Saccharomyces cerevisiae S288C: one gene and its partners. Changing the gene in region 2 together with the main gene of any one other region gives a genetic interaction. Each region holds a gene or a part of one and is shown on either strand. Other genes may lie near its edges.

Evidence for each region.
Region 1: of GAL1 (region 2) and YTA6, changing one suppresses a phenotype caused by changing the other (phenotypic suppression), as found in Saccharomyces cerevisiae (one study listed by BioGRID).
Region 3: mutations in GAL1 (region 2) and GAL2 impair growth when combined (synthetic growth defect), as found in Saccharomyces cerevisiae (2 studies listed by BioGRID, with this or other methods).
Region 4: mutations in GAL1 (region 2) and SDS23 together harm fitness more than expected from each alone (negative genetic interaction), as found in Saccharomyces cerevisiae (one large-scale study listed by BioGRID).

What each region holds. Positions count from the first base shown.
Region 1 is NC_001148.4:414,062-421,612, forward strand, and holds YTA6 (putative AAA family ATPase YTA6), read left to right. Parts: upstream 1-1,701; coding exon 1,702-3,966; downstream 3,967-7,551. Other genes in the region: transcription regulator GCR1, read left to right, coding at 1-1,301; putative ubiquitin-specific protease UBP16, read left to right, coding at 4,451-5,950; YPL071C (uncharacterized protein), read right to left, coding at 5,987-6,457; guanine nucleotide exchange factor MUK1, read left to right, coding at 6,887-7,551.
Region 2 is NC_001134.8:274,516-282,400, forward strand, and holds GAL1 (galactokinase), read left to right. Parts: upstream 1-4,505; coding exon 4,506-6,092; downstream 6,093-7,885. Other genes in the region: GAL7 (UDP-glucose:hexose-1-phosphate uridylyltransferase), read right to left, coding at 1-1,012; GAL10 (bifunctional UDP-glucose 4-epimerase/aldose 1-epimerase), read right to left, coding at 1,738-3,837; FUR4 (uracil permease), read left to right, coding at 6,928-7,885. UniProt on the Saccharomyces cerevisiae protein: Galactokinase is a key enzyme in the galactose metabolism where it catalyzes the conversion of alpha-D-galactose to galactose 1-phosphate.
Region 3 is NC_001144.5:286,554-294,426, forward strand, and holds GAL2 (galactose permease GAL2), read left to right. Parts: upstream 1-3,658; coding exon 3,659-5,383; downstream 5,384-7,873. Other genes in the region: BOS1 (Bos1p), read right to left, coding at 4-6; cyclin-dependent protein serine/threonine kinase inhibiting protein SIC1, read left to right, coding at 267-1,121; EMP46 (Emp46p), read left to right, coding at 1,363-2,697; SRL2 (Srl2p), read right to left, coding at 5,841-7,019; EMP70 (Emp70p), read right to left, coding at 7,538-7,873. UniProt on the Saccharomyces cerevisiae protein: GAL2 is a facilitated diffusion transporter required for both the high-affinity galactokinase-dependent and low-affinity galactokinase-independent galactose transport processes.
Region 4 is NC_001139.9:391,737-399,415, reverse strand, and holds SDS23 (Sds23p), read left to right. Parts: upstream 1-1,797; coding exon 1,798-3,381; downstream 3,382-7,679. Other genes in the region: OLE1 (stearoyl-CoA 9-desaturase), read right to left, coding at 1-788; GEP7 (Gep7p), read left to right, coding at 3,587-4,450; E2 ubiquitin-conjugating protein RAD6, read right to left, coding at 4,912-5,430; protein kinase PKP2, read right to left, coding at 5,718-7,193; YBP2 (Ybp2p), read right to left, coding at 7,426-7,679. UniProt on the Saccharomyces cerevisiae protein: Involved in DNA replication and cell separation during budding.

The DNA of each region.
Region 1 (7,551 bases), on a different chromosome or scaffold from region 2:
GACAAGCCCAAACACATCAAAGGGGTCCGAAAGGACAATCACATGCACAGGTTCAAAGTACTAATAGCCCTGCGCTAGCGCCAATTAACATGTTCCCGAGCTTAAGTAATTCTATACAGCCGATGCTTGGCACCTTGGCTCCGCAACCGCAAGATATAGTACAGAAGAGGAAGCTACCGTTACCAGGTTCAATAGCCTCTGCAGCAACAGGCAGTCCTTTTTCTCCATCACCCGTTGGTGAGTCTCCCTATAGCAAACGCTTTAAACTAGACGATAAACCAACTCCGTCTCAGACGGCTCTTGATTCCTTACTTACAAAATCCATTTCAAGCCCTAGATTACCCCTTTCGACGTTGGCTAACACAGCTGTCACGGAATCTTTTCGCTCACCTCAGCAGTTTCAGCATTCTCCAGATTTTGTAGTTGGTGGTAGCTCAAGTTCAACAACGGAAAATAACTCTAAGAAGGTAAATGAAGATTCTCCATCATCTTCTTCAAAACTAGCTGAACGACCTCGTCTTCCAAACAACGACTCCACTACTAGCATGCCTGAAAGTCCCACCGAGGTAGCTGGTGATGATGTTGATAGGGAGAAACCGCCAGAGTCAAGTAAGTCGGAGCCCAATGATAACAGCCCAGAATCGAAAGATCCTGAGAAAAATGGTAAAAACAGTAATCCGCTTGGTACGGATGCTGACAAACCAGTACCAATTTCTAATATTCATAATTCTACTGAGGCTGCAAATTCAAGTGGTACAGTGACAAAGACAGCTCCATCATTTCCGCAGAGTTCTTCTAAGTTTGAAATTATAAATAAAAAGGATACGAAGGCGGGGCCAAACGAGGCAATCAAATACAAGCTGTCCAGAGAAAATAAAACAATATGGGACCTATATGCGGAGTGGTATATTGGTCTGAACGGTAAATCTTCAATAAAAAAATTGATTGAAAATTATGGCTGGCGAAGGTGGAAGGTTAGCGAAGATTCACATTTTTTTCCTACTAGAAGAATTATTATGGATTATATTGAAACGGAATGTGATCGTGGCATAAAACTCGGCAGGTTTACTAATCCTCAACAACCGAGGGAGGATATACGGAAGATTTTAGTAGGGGACCTAGAAAAGTTCAGGATAAATAACGGTCTGACTCTGAATTCTCTATCATTGTACTTTAGAAATTTAACGAAAAATAACAAGGAAATTTGTATTTTTGAAAACTTTAAAAATTGGAACGTTAGATCAATGACAGAAGAAGAGAAATTAAAGTATTGCAAAAGGCGACATAATACACCATCTTAAGTTTATTGAGGTTGTCCGCGACAATAGTTCCTTCAACAAAATAACGAAGCGACGATAACGAGAAATGTCATTAGGTTATTACTACCTTTATAGAAAATATATATACTTATTTAATATTTATATAGATTTATGTGTGTACATACCTATGCGGATGTATGCCTATGTGGGAATTCCTAAATGTCTTTCCATCAACGACTAAATATATATTCTCATGACTGACTATATGGGTTACGAAAACTTAATTTTTTTGTCAAAGACCCTGGCGAATTGAGAAAACCCGCTGGATAGATGGGCTATCCGAAATTTTGAAAGATGGAAAAAACATTAATCTCATTAGCAAAAGAGGTAAGACCCTGGGTGAAGAAAAGTCCGAGGAGGGAACACAAAAAAGTCTAGGATAATGGCACATGAAAAGTTTAGTATACCTGAGAACTTCACATTAGCGCAGTCTTTGCAATTGCTTTACTCTGTTGTCAAAAATCAATATAAAAACCTAGCAGACCTAATAATCAATAGCAAAGGTAATAAGGACACAGTAACGTATGGGAAAATCCACAAAAACTTAGACACTTTACTGGTATACGTCAATGAAGGTCTACGAAAAATTGAAAAGACTTATACCTTAAAGAAAGGGTTAGGAAATCTTGTAGTTGATCATCCTGAATTGAGGAGCATCATTGAGGATTTCCAAATTCTTGGCCAGGATATAAGGATCGCACGTCGTAAAGCAGAAACGCTTATGGCCGAAGGAAACGGTAGTCCCTCTTTGTCATCCTCCTCTTCCGTTTTGGGCCTTGGGACAGGAAATGGTTTGCGTTTTCCAAAACTTTGGAGAATGGGTTCCAAAAGAGATAAATTGAAAGAAGCTGACGAAAAGGAGGCTAAAATCAACAAACAGGCTGATAATATCAGACGTGCTAGGAAATTAGAAGAAGAGAAAAAGTTAGGAGCAAAACTTCAGTATGAGAGGGACTTAGAACTTCAAAGGGAAAAATTGATCGAGTTAAAGGTTAAAGAAAAGGTCGAATTTGAAGTGGCCCAAAAGTTGGAGGAGGAGAGAGTTAAGAGAGAGGAAGAAGAACGCAAACATAGAGAACAAGCGGAGAAAAAACGTATATCAACCCTGAAACATGAGAGGAAAACAAATTACAAATCAAGGGCTAGCCTCGACAACTTCTCTTCCAGTAGCAAATCTTCTGGAAAGATTGACAACTCCCTAATTAAAAGAAGATCACTTGACGTTGTACGGACTTCAGGCGAAAGAGTACGAACGCCAGTAAGAAAATCAATGGAGGCAGCAGAAATAGGTATGGCTGCGCAGTTAGCCTGGTCTCAGTATCAAAACGGGGCAAATCATTCAAAAGTGAGTAACAACGGATCGCATTCAAATGAACTTCAGATACGTTATAAGCCAACACCACCTTTGAAAAAAAGGTATGACTACAAAAAGCCAACAGTTAATCGACCGATTATAAAATCACCTACTCTTAACAGGCAAAACAGCAAGTCTTCACGGAATATACCCACAAATAGCAAGCTGAAGGCTAGTAAATCCAATACTAACAAAGTTTCTCGTAGGAATGAGCAAAATTTGGAGCCTAGTTCACCAGTACTCGTTTCAGCGACAGCGGTACCTGCTGAATCCAAACCCATGCGTTCTAAAAGTGGTACACCCGATAAGGAAAGCTCTGCTAGTTCATCCCTCGATTCCAGAAAGGAGGATATATTAAAATCAGTGCAGGGAGTAGATCGAAACGCTTGTGAACAGATACTTAATGAAATTCTTGTTACGGATGAAAAAGTTTATTGGGAGGATATCGCAGGCTTACGGAATGCGAAGAATTCTTTGAAAGAAGCAGTGGTTTACCCATTTCTGCGGCCTGACTTATTCAAAGGGCTAAGAGAACCTGTTAGAGGTATGCTTTTGTTCGGCCCACCAGGTACAGGTAAGACAATGATTGCTAAGGCGGTTGCGACAGAGTCCAATTCCACATTTTTTAGTGTAAGTGCATCTTCTTTGCTATCGAAATACCTCGGTGAATCTGAGAAGCTGGTTAGAGCATTGTTTTACATGGCCAAAAAATTGTCACCCTCAATTATTTTCATAGATGAGATTGACTCTATGTTAACAGCTCGCTCTGATAATGAAAATGAGTCCTCGAGGAGAATTAAAACAGAACTTCTTATTCAGTGGTCCTCCCTATCTAGTGCTACTGCACAATCGGAAGACCGAAATAATACGCTTGACAGCAGAGTACTTGTCTTAGGAGCAACGAATTTGCCATGGGCGATTGATGATGCAGCAAGAAGACGATTTTCACGGAAACTATACATTCCTTTACCAGATTATGAAACTAGACTATATCATTTGAAGAGATTAATGGCCAAGCAGAAAAATAGCCTGCAAGATTTAGACTATGAATTAATAACAGAAATGACCGAGGGGTTTTCTGGTTCTGATCTTACGTCATTAGCCAAAGAAGCGGCAATGGAACCTATTAGAGATTTAGGAGATAAGTTGATGTTTGCGGATTTTGATAAAATCAGAGGAATTGAAATAAAAGATTTTCAGAATGCTCTGTTGACAATAAAAAAGAGCGTGTCGTCAGAATCTCTACAAAAATATGAGGAGTGGTCTAGTAAATTCGGTAGTAATGGTTCCTGAACGAGAGGGAGCGTCTTAATGGCAAAGAAAGGTATGAGAAGGAATTTTCCCCTTTCAACTTCTTGCTTCTGATCTAATTTTATTACCTATGTACTTTCTATGTATTATCAAAGAAAAACTAACTTCGGTTCCCTTATGATTTGATATTTTTCTTTCTTATTTACAATTAGTTTTCTCAGAACGATATTCAATACAGTTCTCCGGATTTTTGCTTACTATATTGGCCCCAAAAAAATGAAATAAAAAAAGAAAACAAAATAATATACTTGGGTGAAATAAAAAAAATAAATCAATAGCACCCAGTTAACCTAGATTCAAAGTTTCTTCTTCAATCTCAATTTATATACACGTTTGAGTTAATGGGAAAGCAAAGTCCAGCTATAAAACACTTGACCGTTAGCGCCATACCCTCCAACAACTAATTGGACCTTCTCCTTCTGCCCAAACAGTATATGCAAGGTACAGCAGTTACTACAAGCACAATATGTCTTGGATAAAAAATGTAACAGAATCTCCGACTTCACTGATTAAAAAAGTTTCATGTGGTTTGATAATTGCTGCTTCTCTATATGCCATTGCACCCAGCCTAAGTGCGCTAGTCTTTGGGGATTCTAAGCAGAGTATTGGGAAGTACACGACAGTGGGCTTAATTAATCGTGGGAATGATTGCTTCATAACATCATCTTTGCAAGGCCTGGCTGGAATACCTCGATTTGTAGAATATTTGAAACGGATAAGAACGGTCCTTCTAGAATTAGAAACTAAGCTGTCAAATAATGCAAAAGGCGACAATCCTACAGTTGATAACACTACAAGGCATAGTCGACTTGAAAACTCGTCTAATTCACTTGCCCCCTTACACGAAAGTCTTACCAGTTTAATTTTGGATTTGATATCTGTAAAAGATCGTAAGACGTCAATTTCTCCGAAAATAGTGATAAACACATTAGAGTCCATCTTTAAATCAAAGATCTCATCCAAACAAAATGATGCACATGAATTTACATTAATATTACTACAAACATTACAGGAAGAACGATCAAAATTGATCGATTACAGTAAACAGATATGTAATTTGAATATACCAAAGTTTCCATTTGAGGGCGAGACTTCCAAGTTTCTAGTATGCCTTAAATGCAAGGGTCTATCAGAACCATCATACAAACAGACTTTCATCCGCGAACTGTCCGTACCACAACAAACATCAGAGAATCTATCCAATATTCTAGCACACGATGAAACAGAAATCATAGACGACTATTCATGCCTGATCTGCCAAATAAGAGCAATCTTAAACCATGAAGAATATAGAAATTTCAAGGACTGTACCCCGGATGAAATTTTAATGTTGGACAGATTGAAAAATTATGCCACTAAAGCCCCAATTAACGAAAATTTACCATTCGAAGTAGAACAGTACGTCAAGCGTTACTCAAAGGGCAATTTGCAGGTATCTAATATAAAGGGAAAGGTCATCAAAAAAGATGTAGTAGTACAACTGCCAGACATATTAATTGTTCACTTATCGAGATCCACATTCAATGGTATTACATATTCTAGAAATCCCTGCAATGTCAAATTTGGAGAAAGAATAACACTTTCTGAATATACATTGGCTGAGAGTGGGACAATAACAGAAAACAGGCAAGTCAAATATAATTTGAAAAGTGTTGTGAAACACACCGGTTCTCATTCGAGTGGACACTATATGTGTTACAGACGCAAGACTGAAATTCGTTTCGGGAAGGAGGATGAATCTTCCTTCAGAAGAGCACCAGTTGTCAACAATGAAGTTAACAAGAATCGCGAGCAAAACGTTGCACATAATGATTACAAAAAAAGCAGATATAAAAAAGTCAAAAACGCCCTGCGGTATCCTTATTGGCAAATATCTGATACCGCCATAAAGGAATCTACCGCTTCAACTGTCTTGAATGAACAGAAATATGCTTATATGCTATACTACGAACGTGTAAATAAATAACCGCCCTGTACATAGGTATATTATAATAATAGTAAGTTACGCATCCATATCCACATCAGTATCCACTGCCATCATTTCAACATCGGTATCAGCCTCTCCATCATAAGTGTATTTCGAAGTCATTTGATTATGGAACCACTTCCACCAGCTTAGATAAGCAATTTCCTTATAATCTACCCATTTTATTATTTGTAGCCTTTTTTCTCTCAAACGTTCCCATATTTTGTCATAAAACAAGTCATTGTCGCCGCGTTTACTTGTGGAACACTTGATGATCTCTTTCAGGACCTTATCATCAATAGCGTCTGTGAATACTATATTGTTATGAATAAGATTGTTATCATCTGCATGTCCGTTCTTGGGCCCTTTATCATTTAAGGATAAATTCTCTAAATCTATAATTAGTCTTTTTCTTTTATAATTATCAATTCCTATTGGGTCTGGAGAATGATTTCTTTTCCTAATGTGGTTGGGATTGCCATTACTTCTTGCAAACCGGGAACTCATGGAATGAAAAAGTCATTTAAACGTGCCACTAGTTTTACTATCTGCTAATCGTTCTAGACGTGTAATATAAATCATATCCGAGCGCCGTTGTTGAATAATTTAATGCCTTCGTATTACATACATTTTGAAATTTGCTTTCGTAAAAGAGCGGTTCCCGGATAAAAAAGTGTGCAAATAACCGAGCCTTATTTGATTTCCAGTAAAGACCCAACCAAACGCATCATTGAAGCAAAAATAGATTAAAACTTACTGTTGTTCGTCTATTGAATTTTGTTCGGATTGGTGTGGTGTTTAATATCTTGGGCAGAAAGAGAATTGGCTTTATAGACACTCATAAAATCATCATTCCCCTTAGAGCAAAAGGTATTTTTAGAAGCCAAGAAGAAGAGCAGATAAAAAAGAAGTACGCCCTCTAACAATAAAAGTCAAATGGCTAGACAATTATTCACTCCTCCGATAACCAATCCAAGGTTTGACCCTAATCAATCCATCAGGGAATCATACAAGAACACAACTGGCGGCATGCAATTTCAACAAAATCTACATGAGGATCAAAATGACAATGAGAGAAGTAGCTGTGATGGTGATGAAAACTCTACAACAGGAGAAAGGCTAGAAAACAATAAGTCTCCTATATTGACAAAACAAGAAATTGACGAAGCGTTGAACACTGTCACCAATTTACCTCCAGAATTATCAAAATTAATTGACATTTTTATTGATGACCTAAAGCAGCCAAAGTACGTACGGCCACTATCAGTACTGCAATTGTCTAGTCTTTTCCAAAGCTTTTACATAAAATTTGATAAAGCATCATTCCAGCACGTCAGTTCAGCGAATAATAATGGCTATTATTTTTCTGGCGGGGGCTCTAGTTCATTCTTGGCTGCCAAAGAAACGTTAAGTAGTGGTCTTAGCGGAATTTTTGGCAGAAGTAGGAGTAGTAGTGGAAATTCACTTATGAGGCCAAGAAGATCTTCATCGCTTTTCAGTAATGAGTCAATATCAAATTCAACTAATGCCACACAAATGTTGTCACCTGAAGAGATAAAAAAGCAATTGAAAATCAACGAATTAAACAACATGAAAATCGA
Region 2 (7,885 bases):
CTAACAATTCAAAACCAACCAAGAATTTCCGAACAGTAGCTGATCTCAGTAAAGGTGGGTAGAAATGCATGTGAAACCAACTATTACTCAATTCATCACCAGTCGCATTCAAAGGAGCCTGATGGATACCCATTGAGTATGGGAAACTCGTTTCAAATAAATTATCATACTTAATAGTTAGTTGCTTTAAAATCGAGGCGAGGTCCTCCTTCACCATTTGGTTAAATTGGCTAATTGAGGCAAGCTTCTTCTTTGAAATGACCAAGGTCTCAAATGGCCAGATGGCCCAGTATGGAACAACAACAATAAAGGATTCATTCTCCACTACGACTCTTGACTTCTCTCTTGATTCTAATTTGACGTAATCGGCAAACAAATCAGTATTGTGTTCACGTTTATATTTATCAAAAGATTTCAATTCTTGCGAAACTTCACTAGGGATGGATTCTAAGCACCAAGCTTGGCCATGTGGATGTAAGTTGGAACAACCCATGGCTGTACCTTTGTTTTCAAATATTTGGACATATTTGAAAGGCTTATGATTTTCTCTTGCTTCTCTGGAGAGATCGTCAGTCAATGCTTGCCAAGAATTAACAATATGAACCAGATCTGATTGTTTCATTTGTGGAATGGTTAGATTATGATTGGGGCTAAAACATATGACGAAACAATTGCCTCTCACAGATTGCACTTTAAGCAGCCTATTTTTAAGATTATCCTCATTGGAATCATTCTGTGGTAAAATAGGTTGATCGAGCCTAACGGCAGCATAATCATTGGGGAAAATATACGTTGATTCATATCTTGGGTTTAGGTTACCAGTAGCTCTTTTGTTACCAGGACATAGATAGCATTTTGGATCATACAATGGAGCTGTGGGCTTGTAAGCAGCCTCCTGTTGACCTAACCAAGGTCTTTTAGCTCTGTGTGGAGAAACTAAGATCCATGAATCGGTTAGTGGATTGTAACGTCTATGGGAATGGCTAGAAAAATCAAATTCTTCAGCAGTCATTTTTGAGGGAATATTCAACTGTTTTTTTTTATCATGTTGATGCTCTGCATAATAATGCCCATAAATATTTCCGACCTGCTTTTATATCTTTGCTAGCCAAACTAACTGAACATAGCTACACATTATTTTCAGCTTGGCTATTTTGTGAACACTGTATAGCCAGTCCTTCGGATCACGGTCAACAGTTGTCCGAGCGCTTTTTGGACCCTTTCCCTTATTTTTGGGTTAAGGAAAATGACAGAAAATATATCTAATGAGCCTTCGCTCAACAGTGCTCCGAAGTATAGCTTTCCAAAAGGAGAGGCAAAGCAATTTAAGAATGTATGAACAAAATAAAGGGGAAAAATTACCCCCTCTACTTTACCAAACGAATACTACCAATAATATTTACAACTTTTCCTTATGATTTTTTCACTGAAGCGCTTCGCAATAGTTGTGAGTGATATCAAAAGTAACGAAATGAACTCCGCGGCTCGTGCTATATTCTTGTTGCTACCGTCCATATCTTTCCATAGATTTTCAATTTTTGATGTCTCCATGGTGGTACAGAGAACTTGTAAACAATTCGGTCCCTACATGTGAGGAAATTCGCTGTGACACTTTTATCACTGAACTCCAAATTTAAAAAATAGCATAAAATTCGTTATACAGCAAATCTATGTGTTGCAATTAAGAACTAAAAGATATAGAGTGCATATTTTCAAGAAGGATAGTAAGCTGGCAAATCAGGAAAATCTGTAGACAATCTTGGACCCGTAAGTTTCACCGTTTTTCAAGGTTACACAATCTTTCCAGTTCTCTTGATTGATAGCATCAATGTATCTACCAGGCTCAATTGCAAAACCTTGTCTTGCTTCGTAACCAGCAGACAAGAAATCACCGGTATAAAATTGATAAGTTGGCTCTGTACTTAAAACTTCTAATGTAATATTGGAATCGGGATGAAAAGCCTTGACAATAAGCGTCAATTCATTGTTTAGAGTATTGATTTGACTTGGCTTAGCATTTTCATCCACCACAAAACAACAATCAAACTGGGGATTTTTGGGGCCTAAGACCGTTGGCTTTGTAGAGTTAAAGGTAGCAATTTCTCTATCGACGATATTACCCGTAGGAATCATGTTTTTGTCGACATCAACAGATTTTTTTGAACGCACCATAATCTCCGTACCCTCAATAGTGTCTCCATATGGCTTGTTCAGATTGAAATAACTATGATTTGTTAAATTTATTGGCGTCGCTTCACCAGCAGTCAATTTACCTTTATATACCATTTCCAAACTTTTTTGGGCAACGTTCACAGTATACTGTATGGTTACCAATAGATCACCTGGAAATTCGGTGTCCTTCTCATTATCTATCAGCATGTACTCGGCGGTAAAAACATCCTTTGAAGGATTTTGAATGATGGGTCCCAAAAATCTTTTTCTGTGGAAAGAACCGATACTACTATGATTCGCATTAACGCCGTTATTAACGGTTAACTGATAGTCTTTGTTGCATAAACTAAACTTACCCTTCGAAATACGATTAGCATACCTGCCGATCGTGGCGCCTATATAAGCACTATCAGGATTCAAATACCCTTCCTCATTTTCATAGCCAAGAACAACTGATTGTCCGTTCACTTTCAGGTCAACAATGCTGGCGCCCAAATTGGCAAACGTGGCTTGAAATCTGGTGCCGGCACCAATAGTCACAAATCTTGCGTCATAACGCATATCTTCAGCGGAAAATCTGGCCTCGACACCCCTTAACTGGTAACCAAAAGGATTCTCAGTAGTCCATTTCCATAAATCCTTGCAGGAGTCTTCAACCTGCAACTCGGTCTGCCATTTCAGTTCGCGTTTGGCCCTATCTGGTTTAGCCGTCAAGTTCAAAACATCACCTGCTCTTCTGCCCGTAACTTTGTATGGAAGATCAATACCAGAAGCTTTGCAGAATGCATGATAAACTTCAAAAACTGTAGAACCTTTACCGGAACCCAAGTTCCACTCACGACACAAACCTTCATTTTCATTGTAGGCCTCTAGGTATTGCAGGGCTGCAATATGACCTTTTGCTAGATCAACTACGTGGATATAATCCCTGATCGGGGTACCATCTCTGGAATCATAATCGTCTCCGAAGATGTAAAGCTTCTCGCGCCTACCAACAGCTACTTGAGCCATATATGGCAACAAATTGTTTGGTATACCTAGCGGATCTTCTCCGATTAATCCAGAGGGATGTGCGCCAATTGGGTTAAAATAACGCAAGATAGCAAACTTCCAACTTTTTTTGTCGCTATTGTAAAGATCATTCAAGATATTCTCAATGGCGTATTTCGTATGACCATACGGATTAGTAGGCCCTAAGGGACATTCTTCTGGGATAGGAATCATATTTGGGAATCTCGTAGCATCACCATAGACAGTAGCAGAAGATGAAAAAACAAATTTGGAAACGTTGTATTGTTGCATTAACTCTAATAAAACGACAGTTCCCAAAATGTTATTGTGATAGTATCTCAGCGGGATTTGTGTAGATTCACCTACAGCCTTTAAACCAGCAAAGTGAATTACCGAATCAATTTTATATTCTTTGAAAACCTTTTCCAGACCTTTTCGGTCACACAAATCAACCTCATAGAAGGGAATGTGATGCTTGGTCAAGACCTCTAACCTGGCTACAGAATCATAAGTTGAATTCGACAGGTTATCAGCAACAACACAGTCATATCCATTCTCAATTAGCTCTACCACAGTGTGTGAACCAATGTATCCAGCACCACCTGTAACCAAAACAATTTTAGAAGTACTTTCACTTTGTAACTGAGCTGTCATTTATATTGAATTTTCAAAAATTCTTACTTTTTTTTTGGATGGACGCAAAGAAGTTTAATAATCATATTACATGGCATTACCACCATATACATATCCATATCTAATCTTACTTATATGTTGTGGAAATGTAAAGAGCCCCATTATCTTAGCCTAAAAAAACCTTCTCTTTGGAACTTTCAGTAATACGCTTAACTGCTCATTGCTATATTGAAGTACGGATTAGAAGCCGCCGAGCGGGCGACAGCCCTCCGACGGAAGACTCTCCTCCGTGCGTCCTCGTCTTCACCGGTCGCGTTCCTGAAACGCAGATGTGCCTCGCGCCGCACTGCTCCGAACAATAAAGATTCTACAATACTAGCTTTTATGGTTATGAAGAGGAAAAATTGGCAGTAACCTGGCCCCACAAACCTTCAAATTAACGAATCAAATTAACAACCATAGGATGATAATGCGATTAGTTTTTTAGCCTTATTTCTGGGGTAATTAATCAGCGAAGCGATGATTTTTGATCTATTAACAGATATATAAATGGAAAAGCTGCATAACCACTTTAACTAATACTTTCAACATTTTCAGTTTGTATTACTTCTTATTCAAATGTCATAAAAGTATCAACAAAAAATTGTTAATATACCTCTATACTTTAACGTCAAGGAGAAAAAACTATAATGACTAAATCTCATTCAGAAGAAGTGATTGTACCTGAGTTCAATTCTAGCGCAAAGGAATTACCAAGACCATTGGCCGAAAAGTGCCCGAGCATAATTAAGAAATTTATAAGCGCTTATGATGCTAAACCGGATTTTGTTGCTAGATCGCCTGGTAGAGTCAATCTAATTGGTGAACATATTGATTATTGTGACTTCTCGGTTTTACCTTTAGCTATTGATTTTGATATGCTTTGCGCCGTCAAAGTTTTGAACGAGAAAAATCCATCCATTACCTTAATAAATGCTGATCCCAAATTTGCTCAAAGGAAGTTCGATTTGCCGTTGGACGGTTCTTATGTCACAATTGATCCTTCTGTGTCGGACTGGTCTAATTACTTTAAATGTGGTCTCCATGTTGCTCACTCTTTTCTAAAGAAACTTGCACCGGAAAGGTTTGCCAGTGCTCCTCTGGCCGGGCTGCAAGTCTTCTGTGAGGGTGATGTACCAACTGGCAGTGGATTGTCTTCTTCGGCCGCATTCATTTGTGCCGTTGCTTTAGCTGTTGTTAAAGCGAATATGGGCCCTGGTTATCATATGTCCAAGCAAAATTTAATGCGTATTACGGTCGTTGCAGAACATTATGTTGGTGTTAACAATGGCGGTATGGATCAGGCTGCCTCTGTTTGCGGTGAGGAAGATCATGCTCTATACGTTGAGTTCAAACCGCAGTTGAAGGCTACTCCGTTTAAATTTCCGCAATTAAAAAACCATGAAATTAGCTTTGTTATTGCGAACACCCTTGTTGTATCTAACAAGTTTGAAACCGCCCCAACCAACTATAATTTAAGAGTGGTAGAAGTCACTACAGCTGCAAATGTTTTAGCTGCCACGTACGGTGTTGTTTTACTTTCTGGAAAAGAAGGATCGAGCACGAATAAAGGTAATCTAAGAGATTTCATGAACGTTTATTATGCCAGATATCACAACATTTCCACACCCTGGAACGGCGATATTGAATCCGGCATCGAACGGTTAACAAAGATGCTAGTACTAGTTGAAGAGTCTCTCGCCAATAAGAAACAGGGCTTTAGTGTTGACGATGTCGCACAATCCTTGAATTGTTCTCGCGAAGAATTCACAAGAGACTACTTAACAACATCTCCAGTGAGATTTCAAGTCTTAAAGCTATATCAGAGGGCTAAGCATGTGTATTCTGAATCTTTAAGAGTCTTGAAGGCTGTGAAATTAATGACTACAGCGAGCTTTACTGCCGACGAAGACTTTTTCAAGCAATTTGGTGCCTTGATGAACGAGTCTCAAGCTTCTTGCGATAAACTTTACGAATGTTCTTGTCCAGAGATTGACAAAATTTGTTCCATTGCTTTGTCAAATGGATCATATGGTTCCCGTTTGACCGGAGCTGGCTGGGGTGGTTGTACTGTTCACTTGGTTCCAGGGGGCCCAAATGGCAACATAGAAAAGGTAAAAGAAGCCCTTGCCAATGAGTTCTACAAGGTCAAGTACCCTAAGATCACTGATGCTGAGCTAGAAAATGCTATCATCGTCTCTAAACCAGCATTGGGCAGCTGTCTATATGAATTATAAGTATACTTCTTTTTTTTACTTTGTTCAGAACAACTTCTCATTTTTTTCTACTCATAACTTTAGCATCACAAAATACGCAATAATAACGAGTAGTAACACTTTTATAGTTCATACATGCTTCAACTACTTAATAAATGATTGTATGATAATGTTTTCAATGTAAGAGATTTCGATTATCCACAAACTTTAAAACACAGGGACAAAATTCTTGATATGCTTTCAACCGCTGCGTTTTGGATACCTATTCTTGACATGATATGACTACCATTTTGTTATTGTACGTGGGGCAGTTGACGTCTTATCATATGTCAAAGTCATTTGCGAAGTTCTTGGCAAGTTGCCAACTGACGAGATGCAGTAAAAAGAGATTGCCGTCTTGAAACTTTTTGTCCTTTTTTTTTTCCGGGGACTCTACGAGAACCCTTTGTCCTACTGATTAATTTTGTACTGAATTTGGACAATTCAGATTTTAGTAGACAAGCGCGAGGAGGAAAAGAAATGACAGAAAAATTCCGATGGACAAGAAGATAGGAAAAAAAAAAAGCTTTCACCGATTTCCTAGACCGGAAAAAAGTCGTATGACATCAGAATGAAAAATTTTCAAGTTAGACAAGGACAAAATCAGGACAAATTGTAAAGATATAATAAACTATTTGATTCAGCGCCAATTTGCCCTTTTCCATTTTCCATTAAATCTCTGTTCTCTCTTACTTATATGATGATTAGGTATCATCTGTATAAAACTCCTTTCTTAATTTCACTCTAAAGCATACCCCATAGAGAAGATCTTTCGGTTCGAAGACATTCCTACGCATAATAAGAATAGGAGGGAATAATGCCAGACAATCTATCATTACATTTAAGCGGCTCTTCAAAAAGATTGAACTCTCGCCAACTTATGGAATCTTCCAATGAGACCTTTGCGCCAAATAATGTGGATTTGGAAAAAGAGTATAAGTCATCTCAGAGTAATATAACTACCGAAGTTTATGAGGCATCGAGCTTTGAAGAAAAAGTAAGCTCAGAAAAACCTCAATACAGCTCATTCTGGAAGAAAATCTATTATGAATATGTGGTCGTTGACAAATCAATCTTGGGTGTTTCTATTCTGGATTCATTTATGTACAACCAGGACTTGAAGCCCGTCGAAAAAGAAAGGCGGGTTTGGTCCTGGTACAATTATTGTTACTTCTGGCTTGCTGAATGTTTCAATATCAACACTTGGCAAATTGCAGCTACAGGTCTACAACTGGGTCTAAATTGGTGGCAGTGTTGGATAACAATTTGGATTGGGTACGGTTTCGTTGGTGCTTTTGTTGTTTTGGCCTCTAGAGTTGGATCTGCTTATCATTTGTCATTCCCTATATCATCTAGAGCATCATTCGGTATTTTCTTCTCTTTATGGCCCGTTATTAACAGAGTCGTCATGGCCATCGTTTGGTATAGTGTCCAAGCTTATATTGCGGCAACTCCCGTATCATTAATGCTGAAATCTATCTTTGGAAAAGATTTACAAGACAAAATCCCAGATCACTTTGGATCACCGAATGCTACTACTTACGAGTTCATGTGTTTTTTTATCTTTTGGGCTGCCAGTCTTCCATTTTTACTGGTTCCACCTCACAAAATTAGACACCTGTTTACTGTTAAAGCCGTCTTGGTTCCGTTTGCTTCTTTTGGTTTCTTAATTTGGGCTATCAGAAGAGCTCACGGGCGTATTGCCTTAGGATCTTTAACCGATGTACAACCTCATGGCTCTGCCTTTTCGTGGGCTTTTCTAAGATCACTAATGG
Region 3 (7,873 bases), on a different chromosome or scaffold from region 2:
TACCATTCCCCCCTCAAATCAATATGATTAAGTCACGATAATATCTGCACTATTGCCGTGTTTCCTTCTCCATCGACAGCGTCGATCCTGTCTATTATAGCCAGCACACTGAAAATTTCAATGGCTGGCTTGTTGTTCGCGTCGCAACTTTTGATATTTATAAAAAGAGAGAAGGCATATCCAAAGGATAAGGTATTGTCTTTGTAAATCAATCAACCAAACCTCTACGGAATTTTGACCCTTGAAGCAGGGACTATTACACGAAAATGACTCCTTCCACCCCACCAAGGTCCAGAGGGACTAGGTACCTTGCGCAGCCTAGTGGCAATACTAGTTCTAGTGCCCTAATGCAAGGTCAAAAGACCCCCCAAAAGCCTTCACAGAACCTAGTCCCTGTCACTCCCTCAACAACTAAGTCTTTTAAAAATGCGCCATTATTAGCACCTCCCAATTCGAACATGGGTATGACCTCTCCATTTAATGGGCTTACGTCTCCTCAACGCTCGCCGTTTCCAAAATCTTCAGTGAAGAGGACACTATTCCAATTTGAAAGTCATGATAATGGAACAGTAAGGGAAGAGCAGGAACCATTGGGTCGTGTAAATAGGATATTGTTTCCCACGCAGCAAAATGTGGATATAGATGCAGCAGAAGAAGAAGAAGAAGGAGAAGTTCTTCTTCCCCCCAGCAGACCTACATCTGCCAGGCAGTTACATTTATCACTTGAAAGAGATGAGTTTGATCAGACACATAGAAAGAAGATTATTAAAGATGTACCTGGTACGCCCAGCGACAAGGTGATAACATTTGAATTGGCAAAAAATTGGAACAACAACTCTCCGAAAAATGACGCCAGGAGTCAAGAAAGTGAAGACGAGGAAGACATCATCATCAATCCAGTGCGGGTGGGTAAAAATCCCTTTGCATCAGATGAACTGGTCACTCAGGAAATTAGAAATGAACGTAAAAGGGCAATGTTGAGAGAAAACCCAGATATAGAAGACGTAATAACATATGTCAATAAGAAGGGAGAGGTGGTAGAGAAACGAAGGTTAACGGATGAAGAAAAGAGAAGATTCAAGCCAAAGGCATTGTTTCAATCTAGGGATCAAGAGCATTGAAGAAATGAAAAAAAAAAGTTTCTGGAACGATTATATTTTATTTACTTACTTATTCTACATTTATTTGCAAAGGGGCATTAACATCAACATTTTACATATTATAATATATACAGGATATTCTATATTACAACATTAACAGGATTTTTAACTTTTCCTTACCGTATTCTTTTATTCTGGTTTTCTGTCTTCAGAATAATAGCATATTTCATTGTAGTATTTCGTCAAAGCGAGTTAGGGGAGGATGACTACAAGAAAGACAGCTTCCTCTCTTCAGCTTTTAGGGAAAATCACAGGAACAAAAGCTGGAACTAAGCAAAAGAAGATGAATTTCATTAATGGACTGATATGGTTATATATGTGTGTGTGGATGGTACACGGAAAAGTGACGCAGAAGGATGAATTGAAATGGAATAAAGGATACTCGCTACCAAATTTGCTAGAAGTGACAGATCAGCAAAAAGAACTTTCACAATGGACTTTGGGTGACAAAGTAAAACTTGAAGAAGGGAGGTTTGTTTTAACTCCTGGAAAGAACACAAAGGGTTCACTTTGGTTGAAACCTGAATATTCAATAAAGGATGCAATGACAATAGAGTGGACGTTTAGAAGTTTCGGGTTCAGAGGCAGCACAAAGGGGGGTCTTGCATTTTGGCTGAAGCAAGGAAATGAGGGAGATAGTACCGAGTTATTTGGTGGAAGTTCGAAGAAGTTTAATGGTTTGATGATATTGTTACGATTAGACGATAAGTTGGGAGAGAGCGTGACAGCGTATTTGAATGACGGAACAAAAGATCTTGATATTGAATCCTCACCGTACTTTGCGTCATGTCTGTTCCAATACCAGGATTCCATGGTACCATCAACATTAAGATTGACTTACAATCCACTAGATAATCACTTGTTAAAGTTGCAAATGGACAACAGAGTGTGTTTCCAGACAAGGAAAGTTAAATTTATGGGCAGCAGCCCATTTAGGATTGGAACAAGTGCTATCAACGATGCATCCAAAGAATCGTTTGAAATCTTGAAAATGAAGCTTTATGACGGAGTTATAGAGGATTCGCTAATTCCTAACGTGAATCCTATGGGACAACCCAGAGTGGTTACTAAAGTGATCAATTCTCAAACTGGTGAAGAGAGTTTCAGGGAAAAGATGCCATTTTCTGATAAGGAAGAAAGTATAACGAGTAACGAGCTTTTCGAAAAGATGAACAAGTTGGAGGGGAAAATCATGGCAAATGATATCGATCCATTACTCCGCAAGATGAACAAGATTGTGGAGAATGAACGTGAACTGATTCAACGTTTAAGACCACTGTTAGATCTGAAGAAAACAGCCATAAGTGACGATAGTTTCCAAGATTTTCTTTCGATGAACGCAAACCTGGACAGATTGATAAAAGAACAAGAAAAAATTCGACAAGATGCCAAGCTGTATGGCAAGCAGACCAAAGGTCATGATGAGATATTTTCCAAAATAAGTGTATGGTTGGCACTGCTGATTTTCATTATGATCACATTGGCGTACTACATGTTTAGAATTAACCAAGACATCAAGAAGGTCAAACTTCTGTAAGCTCTTGTGTCTTTGTTATATGGGTACAAGATATAAGAAACATAACTATTACATACGAAAATGTGCATGTTATCTATATCCTTCTTTATATAGATGCTGTTAACTTCTTTTTTTTTTTTTGGGAAAATCAACTGTTAAACGCGACAGTAAAAGCAGCAAAACATTAATTTTGCTTCCAAGACGACAGTAATATGTCTCCTACAATACCAGTTTCGCTGCAGAAGGCACATCTATTACATTTACTGAGCATAACGGGCTGTACTAATCCAAGGAGGTTTACGGACCAGGGGAACTTTCCAGATTCAGATCACAGCAATATAGGACTAGAAAATATCAGGTAGCCGCACTCAACTTGTAACTGGCAACTACTTTGCATCAAACTCCAATTAAATGCGGTAGAATCTTTTCACAAAAGGTACTCAACGTCAATTCGGAAAGCTTCCTTCCGGAATGGCTTAAGTAGGTTGCAATTTCTTTTTCTATTAGTAGCTAAAAATGGGTCACGTGATCTATATTCGAAAGGGGCGGTTGCCTCAGGAAGGCACCGGCGGTCTTTCGTCCGTGCGGAGATATCTGCGCCGTTCAGGGGTCCATGTGCCTTGGACGATATTAAGGCAGAAGGCAGTATCGGGGCGGATCACTCCGAACCGAGATTAGTTAAGCCCTTCCCATCTCAAGATGGGGAGCAAATGGCATTATACTCCTGCTAGAAAGTTAACTGTGCACATATTCTTAAATTATACAACATTCTGGAGAGCTATTGTTCAAAAAACAAACATTTCGCAGGCTAAAATGTGGAGATAGGATAAGTTTTGTAGACATATATAAACAATCAGTAATTGGATTGAAAATTTGGTGTTGTGAATTGCTCTTCATTATGCACCTTATTCAATTATCATCAAGAATAGTAATAGTTAAGTAAACACAAGATTAACATAATAAAAAAAATAATTCTTTCATAATGGCAGTTGAGGAGAACAATATGCCTGTTGTTTCACAGCAACCCCAAGCTGGTGAAGACGTGATCTCTTCACTCAGTAAAGATTCCCATTTAAGCGCACAATCTCAAAAGTATTCTAATGATGAATTGAAAGCCGGTGAGTCAGGGTCTGAAGGCTCCCAAAGTGTTCCTATAGAGATACCCAAGAAGCCCATGTCTGAATATGTTACCGTTTCCTTGCTTTGTTTGTGTGTTGCCTTCGGCGGCTTCATGTTTGGCTGGGATACCGGTACTATTTCTGGGTTTGTTGTCCAAACAGACTTTTTGAGAAGGTTTGGTATGAAACATAAGGATGGTACCCACTATTTGTCAAACGTCAGAACAGGTTTAATCGTCGCCATTTTCAATATTGGCTGTGCCTTTGGTGGTATTATACTTTCCAAAGGTGGAGATATGTATGGCCGTAAAAAGGGTCTTTCGATTGTCGTCTCGGTTTATATAGTTGGTATTATCATTCAAATTGCCTCTATCAACAAGTGGTACCAATATTTCATTGGTAGAATCATATCTGGTTTGGGTGTCGGCGGCATCGCCGTCTTATGTCCTATGTTGATCTCTGAAATTGCTCCAAAGCACTTGAGAGGCACACTAGTTTCTTGTTATCAGCTGATGATTACTGCAGGTATCTTTTTGGGCTACTGTACTAATTACGGTACAAAGAGCTATTCGAACTCAGTTCAATGGAGAGTTCCATTAGGGCTATGTTTCGCTTGGTCATTATTTATGATTGGCGCTTTGACGTTAGTTCCTGAATCCCCACGTTATTTATGTGAGGTGAATAAGGTAGAAGACGCCAAGCGTTCCATTGCTAAGTCTAACAAGGTGTCACCAGAGGATCCTGCCGTCCAGGCAGAGTTAGATCTGATCATGGCCGGTATAGAAGCTGAAAAACTGGCTGGCAATGCGTCCTGGGGGGAATTATTTTCCACCAAGACCAAAGTATTTCAACGTTTGTTGATGGGTGTGTTTGTTCAAATGTTCCAACAATTAACCGGTAACAATTATTTTTTCTACTACGGTACCGTTATTTTCAAGTCAGTTGGCCTGGATGATTCCTTTGAAACATCCATTGTCATTGGTGTAGTCAACTTTGCCTCCACTTTCTTTAGTTTGTGGACTGTCGAAAACTTGGGACATCGTAAATGTTTACTTTTGGGCGCTGCCACTATGATGGCTTGTATGGTCATCTACGCCTCTGTTGGTGTTACTAGATTATATCCTCACGGTAAAAGCCAGCCATCTTCTAAAGGTGCCGGTAACTGTATGATTGTCTTTACCTGTTTTTATATTTTCTGTTATGCCACAACCTGGGCGCCAGTTGCCTGGGTCATCACAGCAGAATCATTCCCACTGAGAGTCAAGTCGAAATGTATGGCGTTGGCCTCTGCTTCCAATTGGGTATGGGGGTTCTTGATTGCATTTTTCACCCCATTCATCACATCTGCCATTAACTTCTACTACGGTTATGTCTTCATGGGCTGTTTGGTTGCCATGTTTTTTTATGTCTTTTTCTTTGTTCCAGAAACTAAAGGCCTATCGTTAGAAGAAATTCAAGAATTATGGGAAGAAGGTGTTTTACCTTGGAAATCTGAAGGCTGGATTCCTTCATCCAGAAGAGGTAATAATTACGATTTAGAGGATTTACAACATGACGACAAACCGTGGTACAAGGCCATGCTAGAATAATGCGTTTGAAGTGAGACGCTCCATCATCTCTCTTAATTTTTCATGACTGACGTTTTTTCTTCATTTTAATTATCATAGTATTTGTTTGAAAAAAAAAAAAAAAAATTTCCCTTATCAATGATATCCTTACGATTATATAAATTCCTTACCTAAACCTATTATTTGTGTACATATATCAGAGTATTATTACATATATAACCTTTTTCTCTAAAACAGGAAAAAAAAAAGAAAACGATAACATGCTCTGCCATCCTTTGTTCACCGAGCAAAATTAAAAACGCAAAATGAATTGTCCCTATGAAATTATTAAAGGACCACATCACCAGACTTATCTCTGGGGGGTCCTCTAGAAAATAAGTCAGGTACTTGCCTGGACTTTCTTCCAGTTGAATTCCTGAGCTAACATACAATTAATGGAGTGAGAATGTTCGAACGATCCAGGAGTTGCTTTTTTCAGTCATTTGTTTATCAGTGTAACAAGCATTTCCTTTATTTCTTTTATATCAACCTGCAACCTATTAATATTCAATTCAACGTCTCGGAGCTTTTCTCGTACCGTTTTACCATCATCCATTTCCATGCTAACTAATTCTGAGATTACGATTACATATTGTCTCAGTTCTGGTTCATCAATGGCTGATAAAACTTTCATTACATTTTGGAAAAAATCTTCGTCATTTAGGTCTAAAGTCAGGATTTGGTTCCTTATAGACTCTCTACGATCTTTTTTCAAGTTTTTTTCTGAAGAAATATGTCCATTTTCATTAGTGACAGCGGTAGAGTCCTCTTCCGCTCGAACCAAACTATCACTGCCGGTGTTTTCCTCTCGAAAGGGTTTGTCTTTACCAATGGAAAGACGCCCGTCTTCTGCGCTTTCATATAATTTGACAGTGGCTATATTGAACTGTTCTTGCAAATCGCCAGTTTTGGCATCCCCTACCCAACCTTTTTCATGCAATTCCTTTCCTTGAGTGACCCAAGCGACGAGGTTATCTCTAATATATCTTGAAGTTATAGGTACTCTTGATTTCTCCTTATAAACTCTGTTAAAAAACTCAGCTATCATTTGATGACATAATATAGGTCTCCTTTTACTTGCTCTCTTTGTTGTGTGGAGCAAGAGGGCCCAATATATGACTGTTAACTTTTCACAAAGACTTTTTTCTTTATTATTGGACCATCGAAACTTCCTTAGTTGCCTTGTTTCCGCTTCGTCATTACTGTTTCCCCCCAAGTCTGTGGGGGCTCCAACGTGCAATATGTCGTTGTCAATATCACTAGAAGTATGAGTTTCCACATTCAACTTGGTATTAGTAGTGTTAATTCTTTTATTAAAGCAAATAGTATGTGTAGATTGCAGGAGGTCGAAGCTCTTCGGATTGGCAAAATCAATATTCTGCTCTATAATTTTCACAGGTTTTGTTGGCAGTATTTGTGCAATTCCTGTCATTGAGTTTCTAAATACATTCTTTTGGTCATATTTTGAAGTGCTCTTTTTGCTTTTATGTACTTTTTTTGAAGAGGACGCATTCACATTTGTTACTTCCAATTTCTCTTCCTCCATTTTTGGCGTTTCAGAGGGCTTTCCGTAATAATCTTCAAAGGAATTTAAAGTAAAATTCTTAAAGTTGGACATCCAAAAGGATCTTCACAATATAAGCGTTTTTCTGTCCACCAGCTTCAACAAGCTTCAGCCTACTACCAATTTCTAATACTGTTTTATCTTATTACTTGCTTACTTATCCACTCCCATTGTTTTGTCCTAGATGACAGCATCACCCGGACTGAATATTAAAGCGTCAGTGTCACTTATTTTAAGTCATAATCAAGTCCTTTTAATGTGGCTATAGATTAACCCTGTACACTAAAGCTGTATATTATTTCCTTAAAGGAGCATTTATTCCCAAACTGTAACGCAGAATGTCATTCCAGAATCATGGAAAAAAGATTCAAATAAATAAATGTATATACACCAAAAATTACAACTTCGAATCCTATAGTACTTTTAATCTTTTTGAAAAAAATATTACTAAAAACTATGTATCATGTCCAAAGGCCATAGGGCCTAGCATTTTCTTTGTTAAAAAAGATAAACAGTAGAGAAATAAATAAAAAACGCCCTAACCCAACATATAGGACCTCTTTTTCGTTGGCCTAGTCAACTTTAATGGATGAGTAGATTTTTCTAACAAAGAGCATACTGCTGATAAAGCCAATTGACCCCGTTACCAAACAGCAGAGTAATGAAATGACTGAGGAGTATCCCACGTATAAGACAATAGTCGTGAATCCACCCAACTTAAATTTGGTGAATAAAATAGAATGAATAAACACATACAAAGCACAACCGGCGCCTCCAATTATGAATCCTCTCCATTGCCACTTCCAGTTCTCCAGGCATAAGGAATGATAAGTGATCAAAATAGTGACGAGTGAACTTGTCAAAGTTAATAGGAGGAAAGAGAAAAAGAGGAAACCAAACATGTAAAA
Region 4 (7,679 bases), on a different chromosome or scaffold from region 2:
GTTAACAACATCAACAAGATGTAGTGTCTGTGTTGGAATCTAATGGTCCAATCATCAGTCATATCGGTAATATCAGCTCTAGCCTTGTATTTTGGATTTGGCTTCAAAAGCATCCATCCCATGTGGGAGTACCATAGACCTCTACGAGCGTCATAAGGATCTCTCAAGGTATCAGTGTAACGATGGTGAATTCTGTGAGAGTGGCCCCACCATTTAGCGGACCCTTCAACGGAAGCACAACCGAAGATAGCGTAGAATAATCTCAATGGCCAGTGAGCGGAGTAAGATCTGTGAGACCATAATCTATGGTAACCGGCAGTAATAGAAACACCACCGACAGCGTAGTAGAAAACGGAGAAAAGGAAAACGTTTAAATGCAAAGGCACTTTACCAGAGAGAGCAAAGTACCAACCAATCATTGGCATACCACAAACAAGAACCATGTTCAACCAGTTCAAATGTTGGTGCCAGTTATTCAAAGTCCATGGTTGTTCGGAGATGTGAATTTTAGTTTTAGCTTCTTCTTTTTCTTGGTTGTCCTTTTCTAGCAGACGATCCAAATTGGACTTCTTTTCGTTTCCCTTCTTGTCGAATTCCACGGAAACCATTTCCTTGGAGCCCATTAAAGAACCAAAACCGTTGACAATTCTTGGTGCTTTCTTATTCAAACCAGTAGCCAAAATATTAGCTTCCGTTAAGTCGACTTCGTCGACAATGCCACTGCTGGCAGAGTCATCCTTTGGAAATTGGTCGTCAATCAATTCAATAGTAGTTCCAGAAGTTGGCATCTTTGTTGTAATGTTTTAGTGCTGTTTATAATATGATCACCACAACTATCTATTACTATGATGTTCTATTCTACGTAATACAAAATATAAACGGAAACAGAAGTAGGAAAGATGGAAATAGAACAATAAATGAATCAAGATCTGCCCCCATATATATATGTATATGCTGATTTGCAAGACTCGATGAGCCAGGAGCCGATGATTTGCTGCATATATTGTTAACTACTATTATTTCCACCTTTGTGTGCCATCCCCATAGCCGTAACAATAGGGATAGGTGTGTCTGAGTGAGCAAGACTCGTAGAAGCACACCTGGTTGGGCACTAGATAAGGTTTGTTGAGTGTTCAACGTCCGAAAGAAAGCTGCCGACTATGCGAAGAGAACCTTAAGCCGTTATTACCTCTGCCTGTCACAGGCGATGTGATGCTAACGAACAGCACCAGAGCCAAGCCAACTGGGGCGGTCTGCAGAGAAGGCTGGGATACCCGAAATAGCTCGCTCAACAGCTTTTTTTCTTCTACGGAAGCCCACCAGATAAGCGCCTTTGTTGGGCCCGCTAACCCCGGGACATGCCCGGGCTCGGAGTTAGTTTTTGGCCACCGGGCGCCCGAAAAATGCTTCAGAAAAGAGCCATAGTCACGGAGAATCTTGACGTGCATAATGATTAGATATGACACCCTCATTCTCATTTGGATTTATTATCACGTGATGGTATAACCCGGACTGGAACTACATATCCGCTAATCCTTGACTTATTTCCATGTGTCATTTATTTTTTTTTTTTTTTTTTTTCCTTTTTTTTTTCCGCCCGGCAAATGAAATGAAAAATGGGTGATGGAGAAACCATGAGGTTTTTGAGAAATTTCACAGATGACTATAAACTTAGCGATATCATCTCGTACAGAAAAGTAACCAAACCTGCAAACGAAAAGCTTACTTTTGTTAAAAGCGTATCAAGCTAGCGATACGAATACCTCAGAACATCATCTTTTCAGCAAGACCCACCCAATGCCTCAAAATACAAGACACACGTCCATCGTAGAAATGCTTTCTACCCCACCTCAATTACCGAATTCCACAGATTTAAATAGTTTGAGCGAACAGACAGACAAGAACACTGAAGCAAACAAAAGCGACACAGAATCACTACATAAATCTATTTCGAAATCGTCATCTTCATCTTCTCTCTCCACGCTGGATAACACGGAATACTCAAACAATAATGGCAACTCCTTGTCCACCTTGAATTCACAGAATCTGTTATCTGTTCATAGGCAGGAGTGGCAACACACTCCTCTGTCAAATTTGGTGGAACAGAACAAATTGATTTTCATCAGAGGTTCTATTTCCGTAGAGGAAGCATTCAACACGCTGGTCAAGCACCAGCTAACGTCTTTGCCTGTGGAGAATTTTCCGGGAGACATGAATTGTTTAACATTCGACTATAATGATCTCAATGCGTACCTTCTTCTTGTATTAAACAGGATCAAGGTGAGCAACGACAAGATAACCTCAGACTGCCAGAATGGTAAGTCCGTGCCCGTGGGCGAGATAGTAAAGTTGACACCTAAGAATCCATTCTACAAATTGCCCGAAACGGAAAACTTATCGACGGTAATAGGCATACTAGGCTCAGGTGTGCATCGTGTTGCCATCACGAACGTGGAAATGACACAGATTAAAGGTATACTTTCCCAACGTCGATTGATTAAGTATCTGTGGGAGAATGCGAGATCATTTCCCAACTTGAAGCCTCTCTTGGACTCTTCCCTGGAGGAGCTGAATATTGGTGTACTAAATGCAGCCCGTGATAAACCTACATTCAAGCAGTCACGTGTCATATCCATCCAAGGTGACGAGCATCTAATTATGGCTCTGCATAAAATGTATGTCGAAAGAATCTCTTCCATTGCGGTAGTTGACCCGCAGGGAAACTTGATTGGTAATATTTCAGTAACAGACGTCAAACACGTCACCAGAACTTCACAATATCCTTTATTACACAATACATGTCGTCATTTTGTCTCGGTTATTTTGAATTTAAGGGGCCTAGAGACCGGTAAGGACTCATTTCCTATTTTCCATGTGTATCCAACAAGTTCCCTGGCAAGAACGTTTGCCAAATTGGTCGCTACCAAATCTCACAGATTATGGATAGTACAACCAAATGACAATCAACCAACAGCATCTTCCGAAAAATCCTCATCTCCATCACCAAGTACTCCACCCGTAACGACATTGCCATCGCTTGCGTCGTCATACCATTCGAACACGCAATCTTCCAGGATGGCCAACTCTCCTGTTCTAAAATCTTCAGATACATCAAACAATAAAATAAATGTAAATATAAATTTGAGTGGTCCCTCACCTTCTCAACCACAGTCTCCATCGGCCACAATGCCACCACCTCAAAGTCCAAGTAATTGTCCCGCATCTCCAACTCCAGCACATTTCGAAAAGGAGTATAGAACAGGTAAATTGATAGGTGTTGTGTCATTGACTGACATATTAAGTGTTTTGGCAAGAAAACAAACGCATCATAAGGAAATTGATCCGCAGATGGCAAGAAAGCAAAGAGGGCATATAGGCTGAAACAAACCAGACGAAAAAAACTGGCTTCATTTAACTACATATACATATATAAGGGTTTTTCTGATTTTTATTTTATCCCAATAAAGTTTGATTTTTTTTTTTTTACTTTTATTATGCACTGGGGCGAGGTTTTTAGGCCCTTTCTTTTCTTAGAGGAAATATATACACATGTTCTCGCTAAAATCAGTTAAAAGGTCCGATTGAGATGGTACTGTCAAATGTTAAAATCTTCAGATTAAAATCGCATAGAGCCTTCAGAATCGGTCCCATGATTAAAGCAGTCGCAGGAAATCTTTTGGTAAAGAGATTTTATCAACCAAAATTAGAAAGAATTCCACCGGCTTCACTGCTTTTGAAGCAGAAAATACGGTTAGCTCAAAATGGCAGTACTACATCTACAGAAAACCCCATTTCCTTCTCACAGACCATGTCCGAGATATTTAGCGTCTTGCAGCCAAGTGCACCAGATCTAGATGAAGACGAAACAAGTGGTTTGAAACGCGATCATTTATTAACTGAGCGTCTAAACAACGGCGAGCTTGGTGTCATTATGAACAAATTCTTCAATCCGTCTTCGACACATAACAATCAGTTGATAGATACGAATATATTACTTCAGAATTTTCCTAAGTTAAGTGGTAATGACTTAGATTTATTGGATTTTGCCATAAATGAGAAAATGCGAGGAAACTGGAATGATCTAAAGCAAGATTTCATTCAGTTGTGGTACTACAAGTCATTTGGCTTTCTTGGACCTCGAACTCAATTTGTCCTGACAAACTCTTCTCCGTCAGTTAGGTCCCAATTCTTGAAACTTCCATTCATCGAATATAATTGGTTTCTCCTACAAAATAACAAAAACGCAAATATACTACCTGCTGATGTGCAAAACGTGGTCAAGGTGTTTCATCTTGATGATAAAAGGTTTACTTGGAAGAGCATAGATCCATTCAGCAAAGCTATAATTTCATTCGTCGTTTTTGTTTCCATATATGTGTGGTTGGATGAAAGTGCAAAACAAAAAACGAAGGAGCTGCCCGCACAGAAGAGTACTGTAATATCAGAATAAAAAAAAATGGGGTCACTCTTCATTCTTGCAGTTAAAAGTGCCACTCACTCATGATTTTTTTTTTTCCTGTTTTTTTGATTTTTTTTATATATTATACATTAAGTTATCTAAGTAAATATATTCTTTCTACTCTAAATAAGTATTCCTTGAATCAAACACAAAAGATACGGGTATCGGCAGTTATAACCGATAACAAATTGTCCTTATTTCTCATTTCACGTTATTTTCTCCAAAGAAATTTATGGTAGAGCAGTGTTTCTTTTTAGTATATTATTTATATGCAATGTTTCTATCATTATTAAATTTTCTTTACGGTATAAAGTAGAAGATGGAGGAATAGAAAGCAAACGGATCGATAGAGAAAGAAACTCACGATGAAGCCCTATATTTGATTGAACAAAAAGGTAATCGAATTCATAATATCGGCTCGGCATTCATCATTAAGATTCTTTTGATTTTTCTCAGTCTGCTTCGTCGTCGTCGTCGTCGTCATCATCATCATCATCATCGTCCATATCGTCCATATCATCCTCCCAAGATTTCTCTACCGTCTCCTTAACTCTTTTGACGTACTGTGATTTATGATCTTTGAATAATGTTGCAGCTTCAACGTTTGCTGGCGAAGCTGGATTTGGATCGTTGAATAAACTTTGAATGGATGTCAATATGGATGCGACATCATATGTTGGAGTCCATCTGTTCTGCAAAATATCCAAACAAATTTCACCATTTGCATAGACATTGGGATGAAACATTTCACTCAAAAATTTGACATGCGGTGGCTTATTGGGATATTCTTCATCAAACTCCAACAATAACCTAAAAGTTCCGTCTTCATATGGAGTATCGGCTGGCCCGATAATCATGGCGTTCCATACCATGACGTTATCAGGTAATGGTGAAGCAGATACACCCGGTGGGGCATCTTCCTTCATACGTTTAAAATCTCTCATCAACCTTCTTCTAGCTGGTGTGGACATGACGCTTTATCTTTTAGTCTCTGTCTGCCTAAAAATAATCTTTGGAATTCGATCTTCGTTGATTTTCCACTCTACTATTTATGTCATCAACTCTGCAACTTGATAGTTCTTTCCTTTTTTTCTCTTACACATTCCATTCGCTTTCATTTTTATTTTTCCAGCTTTCTACTCCGGCTACCCGGAGGTGCCTTTTTGTATATACATACACTAATCCGGGAAATGTAGTCACCATACTAATATTCCGAATATGTATTTGTTCCTTGGTATATAGTGTAAGCATGGTTAGCTCACACTTTATCTAATTGTAGTTTCTTCGTATGCTTCATCAAGTTGCCTAATTTTAATACAACATCGGTACCATATCCAGGCATTGAATGCAATGAAAGGTCGCCGTTCCAATATTCAGCATACACTTTACACATGGCTAACCCAATCCCAAGCTTGTATCTAAAAGACCGCTTTAACAATTCAATTAGGGGAGTTTCATATTTGATGTGCCCATTTATGATGCTAGGATAACTCATTGGTTCTAGCGACGTGTGCATGTACGGTTTTAATGTTATTGACTGCAATGACTTCAGTTTGGAGTTATATTTAGTATGGGAATGTACTTCGTCATAAATAGATACTGTTTGTAAACCAGGTAACTTGTGAAAATTATTTAGGGATTCTTGAGCCCTTTCTTTCGATTTACCGAATGACCATAGATTTTCATCATCATGGAGGACGCCCCCAGCTTTATCTGAAATTCTAAACAAATAGGATTCATCGTTACTTACTACAGTTACTATGATTGGTTCCGGCTTTTCTAATCCCTTACGAATATAGTGTTTCATGGTTGCTTCGTAAGTATTTCGAAGGATCTCCCCTAACAAATACTTCAAATGTGTAGGCAAAAAGTAAAAGCTTAGTTGAGTGTCACCTTCGATAATAAATTCTGGCATGGGAATGTCTTTAAAGTACATATCTTGGATAAATTTTTGAGATTCCTCACTGGCTTCCAATAAATATTTTTTAGCGCTACATTCTTGAAAAATATCACCCAATACCAAGGTATTTTCCTCCTTACCACTAGTGTAGTTGGCTGTGATACTGACGTGTTCCTCTACAATCAATCTTCTTGATATTCGAGCTCTTAACAGATCAGATAGTAGTTGGTCCATTTTTTCACGAGGATAAAGATCCAAAATTGTACATTCTAAAGCCCCCATTATCAAATGTGGTAAGTTTAGAGTATTGAAGCCTTCTAGCATATTTTTGATAAAATCTGCAAATTGAGAAGCGTCCTCTAAAGTTCTTATAGTCGGATATTTTCTAAAGCTTTCAAAAATATTGTAATATGACTCATAAACTTGAACAAAATGGAAGTTGTTCACAACATTAAATGGAAGTTGTTGCAATTGATTTAATTTATGCGCGATCCTAATTACCAGTTCTTCTTTTACAAATTTCCCGGAATTGATGATCTTGGTTCTGGTCAGCTTGGTAGAATCGTCATAATATTGCGCTAACTGCGTTAATGATACTGGATTTGGACTTCGTTTTAAGTAATTTTCTACTAATACCGTTCTATTATGATAGTAATGCTGCGGATTGATATATTCGGAATTTGAAGGGTATGCCTTCATGGTTTCCATGATGTAAGGTGCCAATTCTTCATTTACGGGACCAATGCAGTATTTCGTGAAATCAGGGATCTGCGAGATATTAGATGTCCTGAGAAAGTGCCGGTATCTTATGCAATTAATTTGATACTTAGACATAATTACAGAACTATTTATCCATTGACCAATCTCTCACGATCTTCATCTTTTACGTACTTTCTGGGTTCCAATGCAAGTATCCCATCCCTTCCCTTTTTATTCCTTGACGATCGGGCGATGAAATCTGAAAAAAATGAAAGTTTGGATGACTCAAAACATAGTGTTTCCCTTTAATAGAATAATTCGATTTACTCGGGAACAAAAGAGAAGAGCAACTAATTTACTATGTAGTTTACGAGCGTATGTTCATCTCTTCTATATATTCTCCCAGAGTATTATTGGAAATGTTGATGAATGCTAATTCAGGCTCACCTTCTCCTTGAAATGATTCGGAGATTTCTTTATTGATGAGTGTTAACAGACCCAAATCCCATTTGTTCCTTAAACTAACAAAAAATTTCATATATGTTAGTACCAAGAGTAAATCACCTTGCGTTCTTTTCTTTTGCTTGGCGGCAGAAAAACATATTAAAGCAATGCTATGAA